4 linked regions of the Arabidopsis thaliana genome follow. The protein of the gene in region 3 interacts with the protein of the main gene of each other region in a pairwise test. Each region holds a gene or a part of one and is shown on either strand. Other genes may lie near its edges.

What was found.
Region 1: the proteins of CUL3B (region 3) and RBX1 interact in binary tests that used the Arabidopsis thaliana proteins (3 or more experiments, as listed by UniProt).
Region 2: the proteins of CUL3B (region 3) and AT1G21780 interact in a two-hybrid assay, tested with the Arabidopsis thaliana proteins (2 studies listed by BioGRID).
Region 4: the proteins of CUL3B (region 3) and ABAP1 interact in a two-hybrid assay, tested with the Arabidopsis thaliana proteins (one study listed by BioGRID).

Annotation. Positions count from the first base shown.
Region 1 is NC_003076.8:6,956,155-6,960,060, reverse strand, and holds RBX1 (RING-box 1), read left to right. Parts: upstream 1-1,749; 5' UTR 1,750-1,839; coding exon 1,840-1,975; coding exon of another isoform or gene 1,976-2,029; intron 2,030-2,102; coding exon 2,103-2,153; intron 2,154-2,247; coding exon 2,248-2,307; intron 2,308-2,720; coding exon 2,721-2,792; intron 2,793-2,965; coding exon 2,966-3,037; intron 3,038-3,118; coding exon 3,119-3,156; 3' UTR 3,157-3,401; downstream 3,402-3,906. Other genes in the region: AT5G20580 (TMEM192 family protein), read left to right, coding at 1-70, 252-311, 465-524, 689-781, 966-1,028, 1,182-1,271; AT5G20560 (Glycosyl hydrolase superfamily protein), read right to left, coding at 3,680-3,906. UniProt on the Arabidopsis thaliana protein: Component of the SCF (SKP1-CUL1-F-box protein) E3 ubiquitin ligase complex, which mediates the ubiquitination and subsequent proteasomal degradation of target proteins.
Region 2 is NC_003070.9:7,650,040-7,654,532, reverse strand, and holds AT1G21780 (BTB/POZ domain-containing protein), read right to left. Parts: upstream 2,607-4,493; 5' UTR 2,536-2,606; coding exon of another isoform or gene 2,284-2,535; 5' UTR 2,058-2,283; coding exon 1,945-2,057; intron 1,866-1,944; coding exon 1,720-1,865; intron 1,480-1,719; coding exon 1,364-1,479; intron 1,273-1,363; coding exon 667-1,272; 3' UTR 519-666; downstream 1-518. Other genes in the region: AT1G21790 (TRAM, LAG1 and CLN8 (TLC) lipid-sensing domain containing protein), read right to left, coding at 1-176; AT1G21770 (Acyl-CoA N-acyltransferases (NAT) superfamily protein), read left to right, coding at 2,284-2,535, 2,607-2,690; FBP7 (F-box protein 7), read right to left, coding at 2,920-2,979, 3,069-3,279, 3,511-3,569, 3,658-3,765, 3,861-3,914, 4,009-4,082, 4,217-4,430. UniProt on the Arabidopsis thaliana protein: May act as a substrate-specific adapter of an E3 ubiquitin-protein ligase complex (CUL3-RBX1-BTB) which mediates the ubiquitination and subsequent proteasomal degradation of target proteins.
Region 3 is NC_003070.9:26,201,472-26,206,615, forward strand, and holds CUL3B (cullin 3B), read right to left. Parts: upstream 3,325-5,144; 5' UTR 3,083-3,324; intron 2,986-3,082; 5' UTR 2,972-2,985; coding exon 2,811-2,971; intron 2,736-2,810; coding exon 698-2,735; 3' UTR 515-697; downstream 1-514. Other genes in the region: AT1G69680 (ran guanine nucleotide release factor, putative (Mog1/PsbP/DUF1795-like photosystem II reaction center PsbP family protein)), read left to right, coding at 3,677-3,751, 3,831-3,866, 3,966-4,103, 4,414-4,500, 4,580-4,627, 4,715-4,791, 4,950-5,097. UniProt on the Arabidopsis thaliana protein: Component of the cullin-RING ubiquitin ligases (CRL), or CUL3-RBX1-BTB protein E3 ligase complexes which mediate the ubiquitination and subsequent proteasomal degradation of target proteins.
Region 4 is NC_003076.8:4,141,183-4,147,642, reverse strand, and holds ABAP1 (ARMADILLO BTB protein 1), read right to left. Parts: upstream 4,734-6,460; 5' UTR 4,686-4,733; coding exon 4,352-4,685; intron 4,112-4,351; coding exon 3,954-4,111; intron 3,786-3,953; coding exon 3,613-3,785; intron 3,533-3,612; coding exon 3,412-3,532; intron 3,337-3,411; coding exon 3,262-3,336; intron 3,183-3,261; coding exon 3,088-3,182; intron 2,987-3,087; coding exon 2,911-2,986; intron 2,770-2,910; coding exon 2,662-2,769; intron 2,539-2,661; coding exon 2,410-2,538; intron 2,316-2,409; coding exon 2,247-2,315; intron 2,168-2,246; coding exon 2,108-2,167; intron 2,024-2,107; coding exon 1,900-2,023; intron 1,811-1,899; coding exon 1,671-1,810; intron 1,584-1,670; coding exon 1,520-1,583; intron 1,436-1,519; coding exon 1,356-1,435; intron 1,280-1,355; coding exon 1,097-1,279; intron 1,005-1,096; coding exon 880-1,004; intron 791-879; coding exon 691-790; 3' UTR 503-690; downstream 1-502. UniProt on the Arabidopsis thaliana protein: May act as a substrate-specific adapter of an E3 ubiquitin-protein ligase complex (CUL3-RBX1-BTB) which mediates the ubiquitination and subsequent proteasomal degradation of target proteins.

The sequences.
Region 1 (3,906 bases), on a different chromosome or scaffold from region 3:
TCGCCTTTCTGATCAACAAATGGCTCTACTGCAATATCAACGCGAGAATCTCCATTATCTCAGTGAAGAGGTGACAATCCATGGAATATTTATCATGAGTACTTCATTTCTGAATCTTGATGCTTGTGATGTTTCTTACTAGTAATTCTAAGTTCAATGCTCTCTCTAGCTCTTCATTGTCTACCCTAATTTTCTGAATTTTCCCATGCTTTCGTTAGAGTGAGTCTCTGACCTCTCTTGTTTTGTTTCAGATTCTGCGTTTGCAGGAGTCCTTAAGTAAATATGAAACGAATGGTAGTAGCACGCCTCAGGTTTGAACTGCTCCATTCTGAATTTTTGACTTCTTTTTATCAGCGTGTACACATTCTAACAACATTCTTAATAAATTTTCTTAAAAGTAATGTATAACTTTTTCCTTCCACTGGGATTTTAATTTTTGCATTTGATAAATGTTAAACTTTCAGGTTGATCTGGCGCATCTTGTGGCAACTCGAGATCAGGAATTACGAACACTATCTGCTGAGGTAAAGCTCGGTTAACAAATGATAAACTTGCAAATTCCCATGGTTAATTTTTCTTTCTCATCTCTCTTTTACCCATTTGGTGGAAAACATATCATAGTTGATTGACATTTCAAGGCTAGTATCCTTGATGTAGCATCTTTAAATGAAAATTGTGTGTCTTGCAGGTGGATCAACTCCATTCAGAGCTTAATCTCGCTCGATCTCTGATCTCTGAGAGAGATAGAGAGATACAACACGTCCGGAATACCAATAATCAGGTTCGAGTCTATCTATAAACATAAGAACATATGAGAACAAAACATACTTTCACAGCATCACATCATGTTTATCATCAACACAGCTTTACCATGAATTGTTTTTGCATCAAACAATTTGCAAGGGCTACACATTTTTTCTGATCCCTGAACTCATCATCTTTTGTTTTTGAAACTCCTGAAACAGTATGTAGCAGAAAATGAAAGGTTAAGAGCTATTCTTGGAGAATGGAGTATGCGAGCTGCAAAGGTACAATCTTCTCTTCTCTCTCTCTCTCTTCATTGTATGTTTTAGAGATGCAGCAATATGATAGTGAAAAATCTTAAGCCAATATCGAGTTTATCGAATTCAAACCCTTTTGTTTACTATGAGAGGCTAAACCAAAACCAACGGATTGTGTAGCTTGAACGAGCTCTGGAGGTGGAGAGAATATCAAATATTGAACTGCGGAAGAAAGTTTCAGCTCTCAGAGACCAGAGGCAGGTGGCATGAAGCATATACATCATCTAACTATATGCAACTCTTATGGCTTGTAGAAAAATATCTTGACACTATTTTCTAACATCTTGATGCATTGAATACGCTAAGCTTTTATGATGTAATGATTTTCCAGTTAATTTGAACTAAGCGTATGTAATGATTAGTTAATTAGTCATATAGTTATTGTAAATCTTCTGGGAATAGTTAGAAAAAAATATATATATATGTTTTTTTTATTATATAAAATAGATATTTTCCGTAATCTTTTTGCTTAAAAATATTTAATTTATCAATTAAATAAATAAAAATCGTTGGGATAATAAAGGAAAAATTAAAATATTTATGTAAATCGTAGGATGAGTAAGATTAAAAAAAGGAAACCTTAAACCGAATTATGGAAATTTACGGGAATCTAATTCCGACGAAAGCCCACTATACAGGCAAAGCCCAAAGCTGCTTTATATATCTCTCTTCTTCTTCCTCTACAATCTCTCTCTACAACAAAATCAGCGACAGCTCAAACGTTGATATTTTTCTCCGGCTTTTCTAGGGTTTAAATTTTCTTTCCGATCAGAGATTAATGGCGACTCTAGACTCCGACGTTACCATGATTCCTGCCGGAGAAGCCTCCAGCAGCGTAGCCGCGTCGTCTTCCAACAAGAAAGCTAAGCGATTCGAAATTAAGAAGTGGAGCGCCGTTGCTCTCTGGGCTTGGGGTAACCTCGAAAATCCTTATACACTATCTTCAATTGGTCTTTCGATGTTTCGATGTTTGTGTTACGATGTTAATTTTTGGTTAGGTTAAGAGTTTTATTGATTGATTGATCTTTGTTTTGGTTGCAGATATCGTTGTTGACAACTGTGCGATCTGCAGAAACCACATCATGGATCTTTGTAAGTCTTAAAACAATCGATTGATTTTGGAATTTGTAACGATGATGTTGAATGTTTATGCTTATTTCGTTTTTGTGTTTTGGTTTGTTGTTAGGTATCGAGTGTCAGGCTAATCAGGCCAGTGCCACAAGTGAAGAGTGCACTGTAGCTTGGGGTAAGCATTTTTCTTCTTCTATGATCATGATCTCAATCGTTGCTTTTTGTTTGGAAACTTGATTTGGTTTATAATTGTAGCTATCGTAATTGTGAATCTAGAAACACAAAACTGTATGCGAAAGTGTTGTGTGAAACAATTTTAGTATCTCTGAGTGCGTGTTTTAAAACTTGACATTGAATTTTACTTATGTGGTAGTATCACTCTGATAGATGTCTTTGCTTTATTTGAGAGCAGACCCTGTTCCTTGTTTTGCAGCAATCTAGATTGGTCGATGAGTAGTACAGTTGATTAGATTTATGGAGTTTTAAAGATTTTCTGAGAGAGAGAGAGACCAAATTGTAGTTATTGTGTTTACATGCTTTCATAGTCTTGCAGTTGATTGTACGATTGATGATGAATTAAAAACTCAGAGGACGACCAAAATAACTGCAATAAGTATTTCTGTATTCTTGATTGCTCAATGAAAGATGACCACTTGGAGGGTGAATCTTGTTAGCTAGGAAGTATTAGAGAAAGTAGGAAGTATTCCTTTAAGATGTATGTGATTGTGTGATGACCTTTTCGAATCTTTTTTCTATAATGTGACAACTCAAGTGGATATACATAAATTATTTAGTGCCTTCCCTAACGAAAGATACTCAATATGTACTTGCAGGGGTTTGCAATCACGCCTTCCACTTTCACTGCATCAGCAGATGGCTAAAGACTCGTCAAGTTTGTCCATTGGGTATGTGTTTCTTGGTTTTAAGCTTCTTGACTAGTATGCAGTTTTTGTTTGTTTGCTAATATTGCTGAGTTGTTTCAACAGATAACAGTGAGTGGGAGTTTCAGAAATATGGTCACTAAATCAACAAATGGTTCCAGCAAGCATGTGTCTAATCGTGAAGACATCAGGTTCATTTGGTTACCACCGCATATGATAACTAAAGATTGTTCAAGTTTTTGCCCTTTTTTTGGTACTGTATTTTACAATTTGTGGAAACAGAGATTTACTGTTCAGTGTTCACTAAACCTATTATGGTTGTGCTTTGGGTGACGTCTTTGATTTCAAAATTAAAAAGTAAAAATCCTGCAAAGAGTTTTTTACTCGTAAAAAAACATAGGAGCTGGGTACCAAACGCTCTTTTGATCCTCAATTGTGTTTTCCTTCAATTTAGTAGTTCCAAATACTAAAGTGAAATTTCTAATAAGGCTAACTCGAAACCCACTTAGATTATAAACCATAAGTTTTATTAAATGGGTCTTTCAACCCCTAAACAAACAATACTAGAGCATTATTTTGACAACACAGATTCTTAAGAGAAACAGTAAAAACTGACCACTTGAACACAACATCGAGGATCAGAAGAGCGTGTACATGGGCGTCGTCTCAGTAAGGATCGTATAACCCAAAATGCTGATAGATTCCAACTGGCTTCTGGTTCTCATTGTACGTCTCAAATATATACGCATCAATTCTACTATTTGGCCTCTTAGGCGTTCCTTTACCACTTGCAACATGCTTCACAAAGTTACCAATGTACGTATATTGAAGAGCCGGTGTCGTCATGCCTCCATTCCCGGCAGAGGGCCACCCGGTCTCCGACACCACCAAAG
Region 2 (4,493 bases), about 19 Mb from region 3:
ACCCAATTCATCAATTGAAAGAAGCATCCACCGCAAATCACCCAGAGAAGCTCCGTCCGGAGATTGAAAGCAATCTCAAACACGACGGAGACAAGCCAAAGAAGCAGCGTCGCTAAGAAAAACTGCCCAGCCCCATTCTTCTTCCCTCCTGAACTCCCAATCCCGTTCCTCGCCATCGAAACCTCACTGTCTCTCTCGGAGATTGCTTGAGAATCCGGCAAAGTTAACCCTAAATTGGATTCTTAGCTCAAACTTCGATATCCATTTCCAATTTTGGCGGAAGAGACGATACAAATGCCTTCACGTTATAAGCTTTACTTTGGGACGCAACGGACACGTGTCGGTCGATACTTCATCCTCCTGATGCTGACTCATCTAATTAAAACAAAAAACGTACGATTTCAACATCGACAAAATTATCATATTTTGTGCCGACATTCGATGTCGACAGTCATTAGGCCTAGTCACAGCCCATTTGAAAGGCTCGGCCCATTTGAGAGGCTCGGTACACCAAACTAGAGGCAAATCCACTCAATACTATACATTAGACAGAGTGATACAACAAAATCCAGAGTTGTTGTTAGTTACACACACAGAAGAGAACAAGAAGACTATAAACAAAACACCATCAAGCTGAAATGTTCAAAGTATGTGTGTAAGTGTATATTAGACCGGTTTCCACACAGACAAAACCTCTTGAAACATCTCCAGCATCAGTTCTCGATCAGCTTGCCTGAAGAAACTGCTGATTTCTTCTCTGACATCATAAATCTTTCCGAAATCAAACAAATACATCAAACACCCTTTCTTCAGTTTCTCCAGCTGATAAAGCCAAGCTTCTTGTAGCCTCTCGAGCACATTACTCGAGTTTATATCTTCCATTAGGCTCTCCTCGCAGGCTGCTTTCAAATCCGTTATGTCGTACTTGTTTGCAGCGCCGAGGAGGGCGAGCCTGTGTTTCCAGAACTCTTCTTGGGTTATGTTTCCGTAGAGGTAACTTAGTAGAGCCATGCAAGATTCTCTCGACATGTCGTCTATGTGGATTGTGGATGATTCCTTTTCCATGAGGTCGTGGTGGAACATGCTTTTGAAAACAGTTGAGCTAGCTGAGAGGATAGCTTTGTGAGCAGAGAGTGTTCCATCGGCTGTGTGGATGATTACATCGGTTAGTATGCTTTCCTCTAGCATCCGGGATAAGCATTTGAGAGTGGTTTGAGTAGAGATTGATTGCATTGTTGCATCGGTTGGCCAAACAGGAGAAGCTTCACCACCCTGGATTATGATTTGATTTGATCAACCATGGAAGTACAAATGTTACAAAGAGAAGAAATTGTGAGAGTATAAATAGAATCATTAAGCTTACATTCACAGGGCAGATTTTGAGATCAAGAAACTCAACATCAATGGTGAATCGACCGTGGAAACTGGAGTCAACATGCCACACACAATCATCAGTTGTACGCAGCAGCTTCTCATAAACTGCACCAAATAAACAGAGTATCTCAGCTTAAACAAACCTAATTCAGTTGTAACCATCCCATAAGGTACTACTAATCATCAGCCAATCATTAACATCTAAATTAATATCTTTCAGATTCCACATAATTGAATATAGTTCCCACATAAAAGGTAATTCCCTTTCCTGAAATACCTAATTCGAGCTCGACAATAGAATTCAAATTCCAAATCCAGAAAAGTCAATTCAAAGACAAGACATACCAGGAGAGATGTAGAATCTACGATTGGGGCCAACGTTGGAGACACGAAGAACAAATTTGGCAACAGGAGGTTGCTCTTTAGATACTCGAGAAAGTTCTGGGAATAGCCTCACTGATAGATAGCGATTCCTCTCTATAGACAGATGCCTTCATCATATCCCAAAACAAACAAAAATCAAAATTCCGAAGAAAATTTACCAAAATAAACCAAAAATGAAAAGCTTACCAATTCCAAATTCCGACTTTGAAAGGATCGGACTTTTTGAAAGAACAAGGACCAAAATTTTCAATTCTCCATTGAGCTAACCTCGAGATTGTCTCTACCTTCGTGTCCCCCATCCACTTTCTCTCTGAAGTTTTGACTTCCTTTTCTCTCTGAACTCTTTACTTCACGCCAAATAACACGACGAAGCAAGCAAAACACTCTGCCGCCTCCATCGCCTGCCACGTGTACGACGATTATACGTTTTTATCCATTAAACCGGTTTACTAACGATATATTAAAATCAATTCTCGGTTTGAAATGAAAGAGAGTGGACTTAGACTTAGAGAGATAACAGATAAAATGGCGACGGGGACGGCGACGGAGAAACCGAAGATCGTGTGGAACGAAGGAAGACATAGATTCGAGACTGATGATCACGAAGCCTTCATAGAGTACAAGATGAAGAATGACGGTAAAGTCATGGATCTGGTTCGAACCTTCGTACCGCCGTCAAAAGCAGGACTTGGTTTAGCTTCGCATCTATGCGTCGCCGCTTTCGAACACGCCTCTGAACACTCTTTCTCCATCATCCCCACTTGCTCCTACGTTTCCGTATACATCTCTTCTTTCCTCAAAAAATTGAGATGAATCAGATTCTTATGAAAATATGTCGTGTTTTGCAGGAAACGTTTCTTCATCGAAACCCAACGTGGCAGCGTCTGGTTCACTCAGAGGATGATTCCAAGAACCTCAAGTCTAGCATCTGATCAAGTCCTGCTTTAAAGCCTTTTGGTGTATAATAAAAACTTGAAAACATTATCTTACAATAGTAAAGCTTGTTTCAAGTAATCTCTGTAAACAAACAAAAATCCCAAAATGTATGTTTTTCACAATTCGACAGCAACAAACAAACACTAATGTTTGTCGTAACAATAAATATAACGTGAAAACATTATTCTATGATACATTTTTGTACAGAAACTTCGATGTGTCTCTTTAGCCAGTGACATAGTAATCCATTTTCTCCGGTGGCAAGTTCAGAACCGATTCGTCAACCTAATAACATCAAGGAAGATATTCAGATCAAATCAATGTAACTAAGATTATAGGTGGGAAGAGTATACAATAATTTATAGTTTACTTACCTCTTCGAAAGGAACGAAGACGAATGCAGTCATACCCCTCTTGTGTGAGACGGCAGGTATATCCGGGTTGTGAGTTTCATCGTCTTCCCAACCTTCAACTAACCCAAGAATGTCTTCTTCTGTGCTGCTTATTTCCTCATCGTTCACACCACTTGTCACAAGTGACAGCAAATCCATCCTGTTATTCGCTCCAATAGCTGTTCCTCTTAACCTAACCACACCCGAAAACATATCCACACCAAGAAGATCAAAATGACTATCAGCTACTAAAAATTTCAACCCCATCACATTCACCGGATCAGATAAGTCTTAGATGAATGTACTAGACACGGTACTTTAAAAGATAAGTAACAGGCCTTCTTCCCAATGCCAGACCAAGGTTCTAAATGCTATTACTAAAAAGAAGTCTTCTCTATCCACATATTTTGAGGGATTGAAGTACCTTAAACGAATCCTTAAGACAGTAGGGCGTGTCCCTGGGTACAGAACAGCTGCTTCGATCTGCAAAAAGAACATGTTTTTCAGTAATCAGGATTATGAAGATGTAATGTTGTTGATTACCAGCCAAAAGGCAGTAGAGGGAGCTAACCTTATCATCCGACATTGACAGTGTATAAGTGCCTTTGTAAAGATTTTCAGATTTAGAAGCCTTAAAGTTCATGTACTTGGCAACATCCTTCAATTTCTGTGAAGAGTTCTGAAGGAATAACAACAAATACGGATGGATCATTATCAGACTAGATCCCACCAGTAGCTCAACGTTTATACCTACTTATATCGAAGAGTGCAAACCTTGTAAAGAAATCTGCCAGAAGGGTAGAACCTTATGTAGCGGTAGTAACAAACCTGCAACAAATTTTCCAAAAGAAGACGCAGATTATTATATGTGTCTGTATTGGACAGATGAAGAAGAAAAGAAAGAAAAAGACAAAGACTTTACAATGTGAACTGGATTTGTAATCTTCCACTCAGCAATTCCAGCTCGAATGTAAGTATTCCTACTCACATAAAGACCTGAGAAGAAGATACATAGTTACTTTAATCAATAAAGATATAACAAGACACGATGTTAGTCAGAGCATACAAAAGAAAACAATCACTTGGCGCTAGAATGTCGTGAAGCAAGAGGATGAAGAAAGAAAGATTACCATCAGTACGAACTCTGGATCTAAGAAGCCACATTTTCCTCCATGATCCATCATATTTAGACTGCAAGATCTTATAGTTTTCGATAACCCCAGCAGTCTGCCAAGCTTTCAAGCAGGCATTACGCCAGAACATAGGGTTTCGAACTGTGTACCTCCACTTTCTACAAACACAAGATGCTCTACCTAAGTCATAAGGCATCATCCGAGCAAACACCTACAAGTAACATATCCAAGAATCAACTTCTCCAGTACATAAGAAAAACAAATTTCAGTACAA
Region 3 (5,144 bases):
GAGGTCAAGTCCTGTTTGATCACACAGTCCTAAATCAGTACTTTGAAGATTGAATTGCATGTTAGAGAAACTGGTGCTACTTACACAATGAAATTCAGATTCTGATGTCCCACAAACTTCAATCAACCTAAGCTTGTCTACCTTAAGCTACTTCAATCACCCAAATCAATGCACACATAAGTCTTTAACATTCCATTATACCTAGATGCTGCGATTTCAGGACATATAACAGCTTTACAAATCTCGCCCTGTGATTCAATTAGTCAATACAAAAAAAATTCAATTTCAATGAAGAAGGAAGGAGATTGTATCATTTTGGATTGAGTGTAAAGAGTTATCTTACGATTCCGATGATTGAAGAATCGAATTAGACATCGCATAAACGGCCAAATTCTGCAGCTTTTCGTATGAGAAGATTGTTATTATTAGAGAGACCAAGCTTTTTAGCTACGTTGGAGATATCCGTTAAGCAACTGTGTGATGCACAGATTAGTCCGTTAAGCAAATGCTCGCTCTGGTTATATATCTTTGATGATGTATATGGGTTTGATCAATAACAGGCAAATCAATATTTTCTTTTCAAAACGGAAACAAAATGTTTATAACTTACCAGACTACAGAACAAATAAGAAATGCTGACTAACAGAAGAAACGATGCGAAATAAACAGAGGGACCGTGTAATCAATCCAGACTTTTTTACGCTAGATAGCGGTAAAGTTTCCGGTCTGTATTATCCCTCTCCAAGAAATCACGCTCAATGAGTGATTCAATTCTCTTCTTTATCTCTGTTGGGTTTGCCAAGAACCGCGTCTGCAACTGTTTGGTGACCTCTGCGATTATGTTGTTGTGATCCAACACTCGTCTAGACTTCATTATCCTCACGATGGCTGCTTCGATCTGAGGTTTTCTGTCTTCTTCTACTCTCTGTCTTGTCTCTTGCTTCTCTGGTTCTGTCTCCTTTTGTGCCACCACAGTTCCTATCTTCACTTTGTAGAACTTGCTTGCGAACCTGTCGTTCACAACAAACCAGTCCTCCTCTGCTATCTCCTTGCTCATTGGTTCTTTTCTTAGCACGTTTTTACCTTTTACACACGCCATTGACTGCAAGCAACGCTTTAGGTCTGGGGTGGGGATTTCAGTTGCCTGTTCGATCTCTTTGTAGCTTAGTCGATCAGAGTTGTTGAACAACATAAGGACACACATTTGGAAAGTCGAAACGTTTAGTTCATGCTTCTGACCCTTTCCAAACACTGCTTTGATATCTGCTGTTCCCATATTCGTTTGCCAAGACAATCTCCTACCGGTGTGAGTCCCGAGGTAATATGACCTGAACTTCTCACACAGAACAGAAACTTCTGCAGGTAGGTTACATTGTATGGTTGGCTGTGTGGGCCAAGAACCGGTTGTGAGAACCTGAACAACAAGTGTAGGTCCTTCTGAAAGCTCGGGATGGCTATTATAAAATCCTAGCAGCGTGTCGTGTGAGGTCTTCATGTCAGTGAACATACCTTCAAGTTTCGAAGTGAATTGATACCCACATTCCGTCTTCAGTTTCACTATCAGATTCCTCTCTGCATCATCCGACACAGTTTTTCCAGATAAAAGCCTTTTCGCCAGATGCTGTTTGTAATATTTCTCAAAAACGTCTTTCTCCTGTAAGTAGCGAAACAACATCATCACCTTATCAAGAATAAGATCGACATCCTCCTCTCCCACACCTTTTAGTCCTTTTCGTAGCTTATCATCAACAAACAGGGAGATAAACTCAGGAGAACGTGTGTTCAAGTTGACGAAATACTCAAACGAAGAATTTAGCGCATTCTGGAACGTCTTATCGTTGTTAAATGCCATGTTGATAATTCTGTCATACTTATCCCGCTCATCCAATAGACGCTGCACAAATTCAACCGGATCCTTTGATTTCTCTGGATCAGTAACCAACTGTTTTCCCATTTCCCTAAGATGCAAAGTCATAACATCTCTAACCGTTACAAGACCATTAGCAACCCTACGGAACAAACTATACATTCTACCCATATCCTCATACTTATCATTCAAAAGCATATTAACCAAACCTGAATTCTCCATATGAACTAGTCTCTGCACATGGTTAGCAATCATCTCTCTTTCAACCACACTAGTAATCTTCGCTTCGCTCTTAGCATCCAAATAATTCACAACCCTTTCGACTTCTTCCACTAAAGGCTTCTCAGCTTTCTTCAAATACTCACCACAATCACAAGACTCAATAAACTCCATTGACTCAACCTTATAAAACTCAGCAGAAGCTTCCAAAAACGGCTTCTCAAAATCATCTTGATAAACAGATTCACCTAAATCCATAAACATCTTAATCACATTCCTCATCAACACCCTATCTATAACTTCACCAGTCCGTTCCTTATGAACTAAATCAAGAAGCGTATTCAATAGCCTAGTCTGAATCTTACTCGAATACACAACATTATCTCTCCAGAGATGAAGTCCAAGCTCATGAACATGAGTTTTCTTAGTAGTAGAAACGTAAGTACGATCCATATACATGAGAATATCCCTAATCATTTGCAACGCTTTGTTATGATCATTCCATTTCCTATTAAGCAATTCTAAAAATGCTCCTCCTTGAGCTTCTTCAATAGACTTACATATCTCTTTGAGATGAAATGTCATAGTGGTAACAAGTCCAGTATAAAGCTTATCACCATACTTATGTAGAACCATGTTGTATGCGTTTCTGAAATAAGCGACCAAAGTTTAGCAGAACAACAACAACAAGAGATGAATCAAAGTGAAATCTATGGAAGTGTACCTGTAAAGCTCTTCGAAACTGAGACCACTAGCGTTGTGATTGTAAATCTCATGAATCGCATGTTCAAGGATCTTCCAAGTTTTATCGGCGTATTTTGGATCAACGACGACTCGTTGCTTAAACGCTTCAATCTGGAAATTTCTCTTCTTCTGATTACTCATTGTTGAAAATGAAACTGAACCAAAAAGTAAGAGAGACCACAAAATCAGTTCAAAGGAAAATCGGAAAAAATTCGAGGAATAAATCATGATGATAGAAGAATTGATTAAAACCTTAGATCAATCGTAGAATCAGAAATTGGAGGTTAGGGTTTGTGATGAAGAATTTGAAGGTTGAAGTCTTGAAGACGATGATGATGATGATTGATGATGATAGCGGAAGAAAAAAAATTAAATCTTATTATTATCCCAGTGGTTTTGATTATCTCTATTTGTTTAAAATGGGCTAGATAAAACAGATGGGCCTGGGCTTTTGTTAAAAAAAACTACGGTATTAATTTAAACGATGTCGCTTGGTAATTCTCATTCTTCTCAATCGTGAATTTGCAGAGTGCAGACATTGTTGATTGAAGAACGCTAATCGTTTGTTTTTTTAATTGTTTGCGTTAAGTTAAAGCTACTTGTTGGGACGTCAAAGCAACGCTTCTTTCGATTCTGACTTTCATATAAATACTAAACTCCAACTTTTTGATTTCTCTGCTACTTTTGTTCTTCTCTTTTACTTCCCCAGATACATCAATCGATCAATTTGGTACTCTTCTCTCTTCTCTTTAATCCCTAATCGATTCTGTTATGTTTGTGAGTGCATTTTTTTTTTCTGGCAAAGTTTAGTTTTTTGAGGATTTTGTTTTTTGAATGTAGCAAAACATGTCTGTTGAGTTATGTTCGGTGAGGCCTTTGTTTGGTGGCGCTATTTCCACCGTCTTCCCTCAAAGATTTCAGGTTCTTTCAATAAAACCCTTTTCGCTGCTTAATTGAAATTCACTGGTTTCCTCATTTCTTCCTTATTGTGAATCTTCAGGATGTGAGTAATATCCGACAAGTTCCAGATCATCAGGTTTGGTGGTTCTATTCTCAGTGGCATTGTTTGTAAGTACATGTGTAGAAGAATCTCTAGTTTACTCTGTATTTGTGTTTGATTGTTTGGTTTTCACAGGAAGTGTTTGTGGATCCTTCAAGAGATGAGAGTTTGATTTTTGAGTTGTTGGATTTCAAGGCTGAGGTTGGTGACATTGGCAGTGCCTCTTGGTTCCTTAATGATCTTGCGAGTGAGCAAGATGCTGAAGGATTTCAGGTAATACCACTACTACACTAGAACTCTTCTTATGGTAGACAAACCAACTTTAAGAACTAGTGTTGTTATTTCTCTAGAATACATCTAGTATCTTGAGTACAAACATAGAGTTTAACGTGTATAGATTTCCCAAAGTTGGAACCTTTTTGCCTGTGATGATACTAGTGAGGCTGTTTTTTGGTTATTGTGGATTCAGTCTCTGAAACTAGTCGAAATAGAACTAATACTGGTGTGTTTTTGGTTAATCTTTACCAAGATTGATGATATATATGAAGAAGACAATCTAGTAATGTTGCTGTGTAATTTTCAGTTGATTGAGCAATCAGAGGTCATTGAGGCGCCTGGACTGTCTTTCAGAAACATCTCTGCTGTTGCGACAACTGCTATTGGAGAGATGGTAATGTCCATAAACATATGATGTCTTTGCTCATAATTTTCCTTTCTATTTGTTTTCTCCTTAACAAGGATCATTACAGGCTATATCCAAAGGAAGACAGGGAAGAGAAGCACAAAACCTAGTGAGAGTATGAAGCTTCTCCTTGTTCTGTCTCTCTATTTATTCTAAAGGGGTTTGTTACTTGAGACACCAACTGGTTTATATGATTCTGCAGGTATATGTGGCAAATATTCGTCTTAAGGGAGTTGATACAGATGTCTTAGTGACTGCCTATGAACCTATCCTGATAAAGTAAGTCCCACAAAGTTGAGTCACTCAGTTATATTGCAAGCAGTTGAATATAGATATGCATCGTTTTGATACAGAACTTGAATATCAAAATATGGTTATTGTTGTTGTTGTTGTACCACATGTCTTTTCATCTAAGGTGTTTGCGTATTATTGTGCAGTCCTCTGAGCGAAAGCGCGGATGCTGTGGGATCTGGTTTAGCTGTCCCAGCTTCACAATCTGGAAAAATGCCAATGTGTGATATCATTAAACAATCACTCTCTACATTCAAAGTCAATGACTGGAATCTTTTCGGTTCCTCAGCTTGAGTCTATGCGAAATGAGAAGACGATTCAAGCCCCTGCCAATTTGGTGT
Region 4 (6,460 bases), on a different chromosome or scaffold from region 3:
GAGACTTGCGGCTTATGTTTACGAACCACGATGTTTCTCTCTCTCAGTCTCTCTCGTAGACGGCACTAGTTTTTGGGCCTTTATTAAGCCCTATTCAGAGACCTCATTCATTATTGGGCTTTAATTGTGTTGAAAAACTCATAATTTATTGTCATACTCTGTGACTTTTTTTCCTTAAATGTTTTTCTCATTTTCTTATATACATAGTAATTATACTAATTTTCTTAGATTATGCAAATTATGCAAATGCATGCAGCAAAAAAAGGATTAGGCAAAAGCATGGATGTCCAATGTGGTTTTTGTTAAGTTTGGTTCAAACATTTTCAACACAAGGGACAAAAACCAGACATTTGTGTTACTGTTTCAAGGCATTCAAGATCTGAAGGTAACAAGAAGTATTCATGTTGCAGTTAATGTTACACATTTTGAGTTTGATTTTTCCTAAGCAACTTTCTATGCCGCTTTAGAGCCATGTTTTCTCGACCATTTGTATTTTGTAGTCTGATGTTCTCAGCCATTTGTAAAAAAAGTCATTTTATAAGCTATGTTTGAGAGCCTCTTTGGTATTATTGAGTTAAGCAGTTTATATTAGAGATATAGCAGTAACAAAATACAGACCGGTTATCAAAAGAAAAACAATTTTACCTAAGTAAAGTAAATCAACTACTTCAAACCGGAATCCTATATGTTTTATACGACGGTTGGGGGACTAGCTTCGACCGGCCGTGTGAGAATATCAGTCATGTAACTCCGAATTTCAGGTATAATTTGCTTGACAAACTTTGCAAACCTGCATTAGGTAAATCAATCGAAACTTGATGAGTGAAATAGAAGTTAAATTTCCCAAAAAAATTATAACGATGTAATGATTTTGCATACCATAATTGAGAGCTGAGCTTAGTGAAATGCTCAAGAACAAAGAGCGTGCAAGCTCTTCTTAAGGCTGAAGCATTGAATGTATCTGCTAACTCATACATCTCTGGTATGTTATCCAGACAGATTTCCTGCACAAGTAAAGTCCATCTTATTAAAAACACACAAGAGAGATTAGTCCTTCTGTGCAGAAAAATTAAGACCTTGGTTTTACGTTTGTTACCTGTGCAATGGTGTATTCACATTGACGTTTGAGACCTTCGAGAAGATATTGATCAGCTGCTACAAGCAGATCTTTTGCCAAATGTTTGGCGATGTTAATTCTTCCTGAGTAAATGAACTTCATCATAAGCTCAAACACTTCCCATCTTATATTTGGTATCTCCACATTTTGAGCATTGCGTTCCTATATCCAGTTCTCAAAGTTAGTTAGATGATATTCTGATGAGATAAGTTACCACAATCGTGATTCAGTAGCTTACCTTGTAAAGACCATCAAACATTGCACGAAATATATCAGAGGAAGCTACCAAGCCAATCTTGTGTGCATAGAATTGTTTACCTAACATAGGACATGGATATACTCATTAAAGAATGTTCTCACCGGTGGATTCTATAGAATCATAAATGGGGTTAAATGTTATACCATCAATTAGGAATGTGACATCGGACATAGTGGGGTTGTTCACGAATTTTTCACCCAGAAACACCTTCAGTATAATAATCAATAACAACAAGTCAAGACCTCAAATCACAAATTATTTGATGCTTGAAAGAAGAAATGGAGATTTTTTTACCTGTTGTGTGGGTGAACAAGGAGCTGAATCCTCTGGTGCAAAGGATGTAGCTTTTTTAGCTAACTCGTATAAAGCACTTGAACTATATCTCTGCTGCTTATTGCTTGAGAAATAGAGAAGTTCCAACAAAAACTCTACTCCTGCATAAGTAATACTTCAATAGATCAGAAACAAAAAACCACAGAAAATTTTATTAGAAAATGAAATTCTGAATATATGAGATGCTTACCATTGTTATCAATAAAGATTAATTTTCCATCTTTAGGGTCACAAAGATGTGCAAGAGCCAGAGCAATTCGTATTTGTACTGTCTTCTCAGCGGTTCTCATTAGGTACAATAATTGGTTTAGTACCTAAGAAGGTTGAGACATCAGGGGATTAGAAACATCGCAAAACATAATTGAGACCCAGAAGTTCTAACAGAAGTAGGTACTCACAGGTCCGTGAATCTTGTTCTGCAGCCTCTTCAATGTCCGAACCACACAATCTCTAGTCGGCTGCAAATAGATTACTTACAATTAAAGTTTGAAATTCTTATTAGATTGGTTTTGCAAATATAAGCAGTCAAATGCATACTTGGACAGTAAAGTTGTCATCTTGAAGCTTTTGAATACCTCCAGCCTTTATGAAATCTGCTACGTTTTCCTATTGACGGGAAAATTAATTAAGTACTCACGGTATGTCAAGTAAGCAAAGAGTATAGCTACATATAATACTATTCATTGCGAGTCGAGTTTACCTCGTTATCTGCAAGGCCATACAAAGCAAAGGCAGCATTGTGTTGCACAGACCCCGTTTTCACATCAAGAAGATTTAGTAGTGAGATGATGCCTCCTCTATGTGCAATGCCAGCTTGATTGTGTGCGTCCTGCAACATTCAAAACATACAATTTTTGTTTTATCACAAAAGGTCTGATTTAACAATCATCTACAAAGAGTCAGATATTAAAAGCAACAAAACATTCACATGCTAATTCAAAAACATATATACCTGAGCCAAACGACCAAGAGCAAAAGCTGACATTTCCACGACCTGCTCATCTGATGATTCAAGCATCTTAATCAGTGGTGTAATGGCACCTCTCTGGGCAATGTGCACCTGCATGATCATGTTGCCAGTTATGTTAAATATGTTCTCTCTAGTTAGAATCCATTCAGTTATATCGTAGAAAAAAACGAGTTTGAGTGAACATAACATGTGCTAATATTATAGTACAACAAGAAAGAGACAATCCCATACCTTGCAATCTGAATCAGGCGCAGCAAATTGACCTATTAATAATGCTGCTTCTCTCTGTGTTTCCAAACAAGTGGAGCTGTAGCAGATATCATGAAAAACAGTTACAAAACATAATTCAAAATTTCAAGAGCTAGCATCTGTTCCAGCAGAAGTAGAAAGAAAGTAAAATAAGCATACCTAAGTAGACCAATTACTGGTTGTAAGGCACCAGCACGGATAACCTCTTTCTTGATGTCAGGAGATGAGTGGACAAGATTTCCAATTGCCCCAATCTGAAAGTCCATAGTACATTAGAAAGAACTGAACAAATCAAACCAATTGCAACGATCTAAAGCAAGATGAAGAACTAACCGCTTCCCCGTGAACGGTAGAATCTTGTGATTGAAGCATCAATACAAGTGTGGGTAAAGCATTCAACTCCACAATCTACATAGTTGCGCATTATGTGAGAATCATGCCTTTCATAAGCCTAAACAAAACATAATCATAGTAAAAACATACTTGACTCTTGTTCTCGTCGTTTCTAAATGAAACTGTTCGCAAGGCCCCTGCCGCAGCCCTCTGTACTTTAACATCCGGAAAATTGAGAAGCTCAACAAGTGGTGCAATGCCACCTTCAACCCTGTAAAGCATTTTTAAAAGGTGTCAAGTGAAAACAGCTAGTCATCACCATAACCAGTAAGGATCATGAGATATTAGTACCTTATATTTGTTTTAATCCTTGGATTGTCATGAGCAATGTTAGTAATTATATCAGCGGCTCTCCTAATAACAGCATTAGCAAACATGCATTCACCACATTCCCCACGTCTCTTCAACAACTTCACGGTGGGAACTATGGCTCCAGCATCCACAATAAGCTGCTGGTAACCAGGCTATTTAACAGAGAAAGCTAATATCAATATACATCAATCCAAGCTAAGTACATCTAAGATAGTTGCAAATCGCCCATTTCAAAAATTCTAATGTTAACTTCCAACAGAGATTGAAATTACACAACATCTCATCCACAATTTCATCAAAAACAGCGAAAGAAGGGTTACCTGAATCGCAGCAATAAGTCCAAGAGCAAGAGCACAATCTTTCTCTAGCTTGTGCTCGCAAGATTTGGGAACATTGCCACAAACTACCAAAGGGGATTCCAGATATCTCACCAAAGCAGGGATCGCTCCATTTTCCACGATGATTTCAACATTTTCATCTATATAAACAGATGAGAAAATCAATTAAGCCAAAAAAAAACACTTCTAGGTCTCGCCTTACTGAAAATCAAAGTACTATGGGCAAGAACAAAACAATTTCTATGTAGAATCCAAAATTAGAGTGAATCCGTTGTCGAGAATTGACTCAAAATTGAGCAACTCAAGGACGAACAAGCAAAGAGAGTAACACGTTTTCAGTTTTAGCCGCCGATTAGAGGTAAAATGAAGAAGTACGGTACCGATTTTAGCCAAATCGGCGATATCAGCAGCAGCTTCTTTGACAGCTTCGTGATCAAAATCAGGATCTGAGAAGCTGGAGTTAAGAACCTCGACGTGACGGCGAATCGCGACGACGAGATCTATGGGTTCGTCGTCAATATCAATAAGTTGTGTGACGATTGGCGCTCCATCTGTGTTGTGACTGAGTTTTCGCTTCAAGTTTCTGGCGGCGAGGCGTGTTGTTCGCTGGCGCTTGGGATGGTTCTCCATTGGCGGATGGTTTGATATCACCGGCGCAGTAGAAGATTTGACGGAGAATTTGAGCGGTGCTTTGAACGATTTTGAGATTATCATCAGGAGTGGAGAGAGCGTTTTCTTTATAATACCAAAGCCTATTTGGCGGGGTTTTGAAATTTAGTTTTTCATTTGGGAGCCAAATTTCCCTCCTTCCACTCAGAGGGAATTTATTATTTTCTTCCATTTTTTTTGTTATTTTTGGTCAAAAAGATTTTTAAATTATTTTCTCATTAAAACACTAATAAAAAGGCTAAACTAAAAATAAAAATCCTACACATATGGTGAAATTAAAATTTTATTTTTGATATATTGTCCTAGCACAAATTTTAATATATTTTCTAAAAAATATAATCTAACTTTTGGATAATTAACTTTTTAATTCATCCAAAAATTGTTTTGGATTGGGATATCTTGATTTTAATGATCACATATTCAATATAGATCTACAAATATATCAAAAAAAAAATTTCCATGTTTTGTTAATTTATTAATAGAATTCATATAAACTAGATGATAACGTAATCAACACGTTTTATTGATATAGTTAAGTATCTCTTTTTGATGGTTTCATGCCAAATTTCTAGTTCATCTAACTGTTGATCTTGCATTTAATTCACAAGTTATTTATCATTGTTAGTCTAAAAGAAGTCTAACTAACCTCGATGTAATGTCAAAATCAAATATGAGAACCAAAATCTTTTTTTTGTTGTTGCTGTGTGTTTCAAATTTGCTCTGAAATTTCAAATTTGCGAAATATTTGAAAACTATGATGTATTCAATTGTTATTTTCATGGATTATTATGAAATTCTTTTACCTCAAAAGTGGACTTGTTTCTTTTTCGCTTGTTGTTGAGATTGCTCCCATTCTTTATGTTGCTAATGAGCTTGAATCTAGTAACGCTAGGTTGACTTATTGGTATAAGTTTTTCTATAAACTCTTTTCTAACATTTTTTATTATTTTGATATTTAATTTGTTGTTTATCTGTCAATATAAAAAATACTTACATCGACAATAAAAAAAAAGTTTACTTAGGCAATACTCATTAGTACAATTTGTACACATTCAATCACGTCATCTTTCATAATATTGATATTATCCAATGATACAAAAACATAAGAGAACATTAGTAACTCTTCTAACACTAAATATATAAAATCAATGTTCAAAAATGAAAGCTCAACAAGATAAATAGTCTAATTGAAATAAAATTTTATGGTCCCTGGTTAGGGGATGTATAGCCTAGACTTGTTCATTTAAGAAAAAAGGTTCAAAAGAGGCACATATGAAAAAACAGTCTAATTGGTTTTTGGTTTGATTTGTCTGAATATGTGTTCTTATTCAATGGTGAATCCAAAAGATCTATATTAGAAACTTAGAAATCTACGATGGAGAAAAATTGTTTATTAAAATCCAACGTGTTATTATTAAAGTTATTTGTGATTACCGCAAACTTTAGATCAAACCATAAGCCCATTTAATCTAACCAAAGGTCAATATATCTTTTTTTCTTTACGGCCAAATATCTTATTAATATAAGAAGAGTTTGCTACATGCTTTGGTTAACCCAGGAGATTACATATGGTGATTCCTGAATTCTAGCGTATTTGTAGCTTCTTTAAAATTTGGTTTTCATTTAGGAGGCAAAATTAAATTTGTTCCCTCGTTCCACTTGGAGCGCCCTCGTTCCACTTGGAGCGCAAATTTGAGTAATCTTTAAAACACAAAAAAAAAGTTAAAAACGCTAAAAAAAAAAAAAAAAAATCATACACATATGGTGAAATTGAAAATTTTCTTTTGATATCCAGTCCAATTGCAGCGCAAATTGAATAT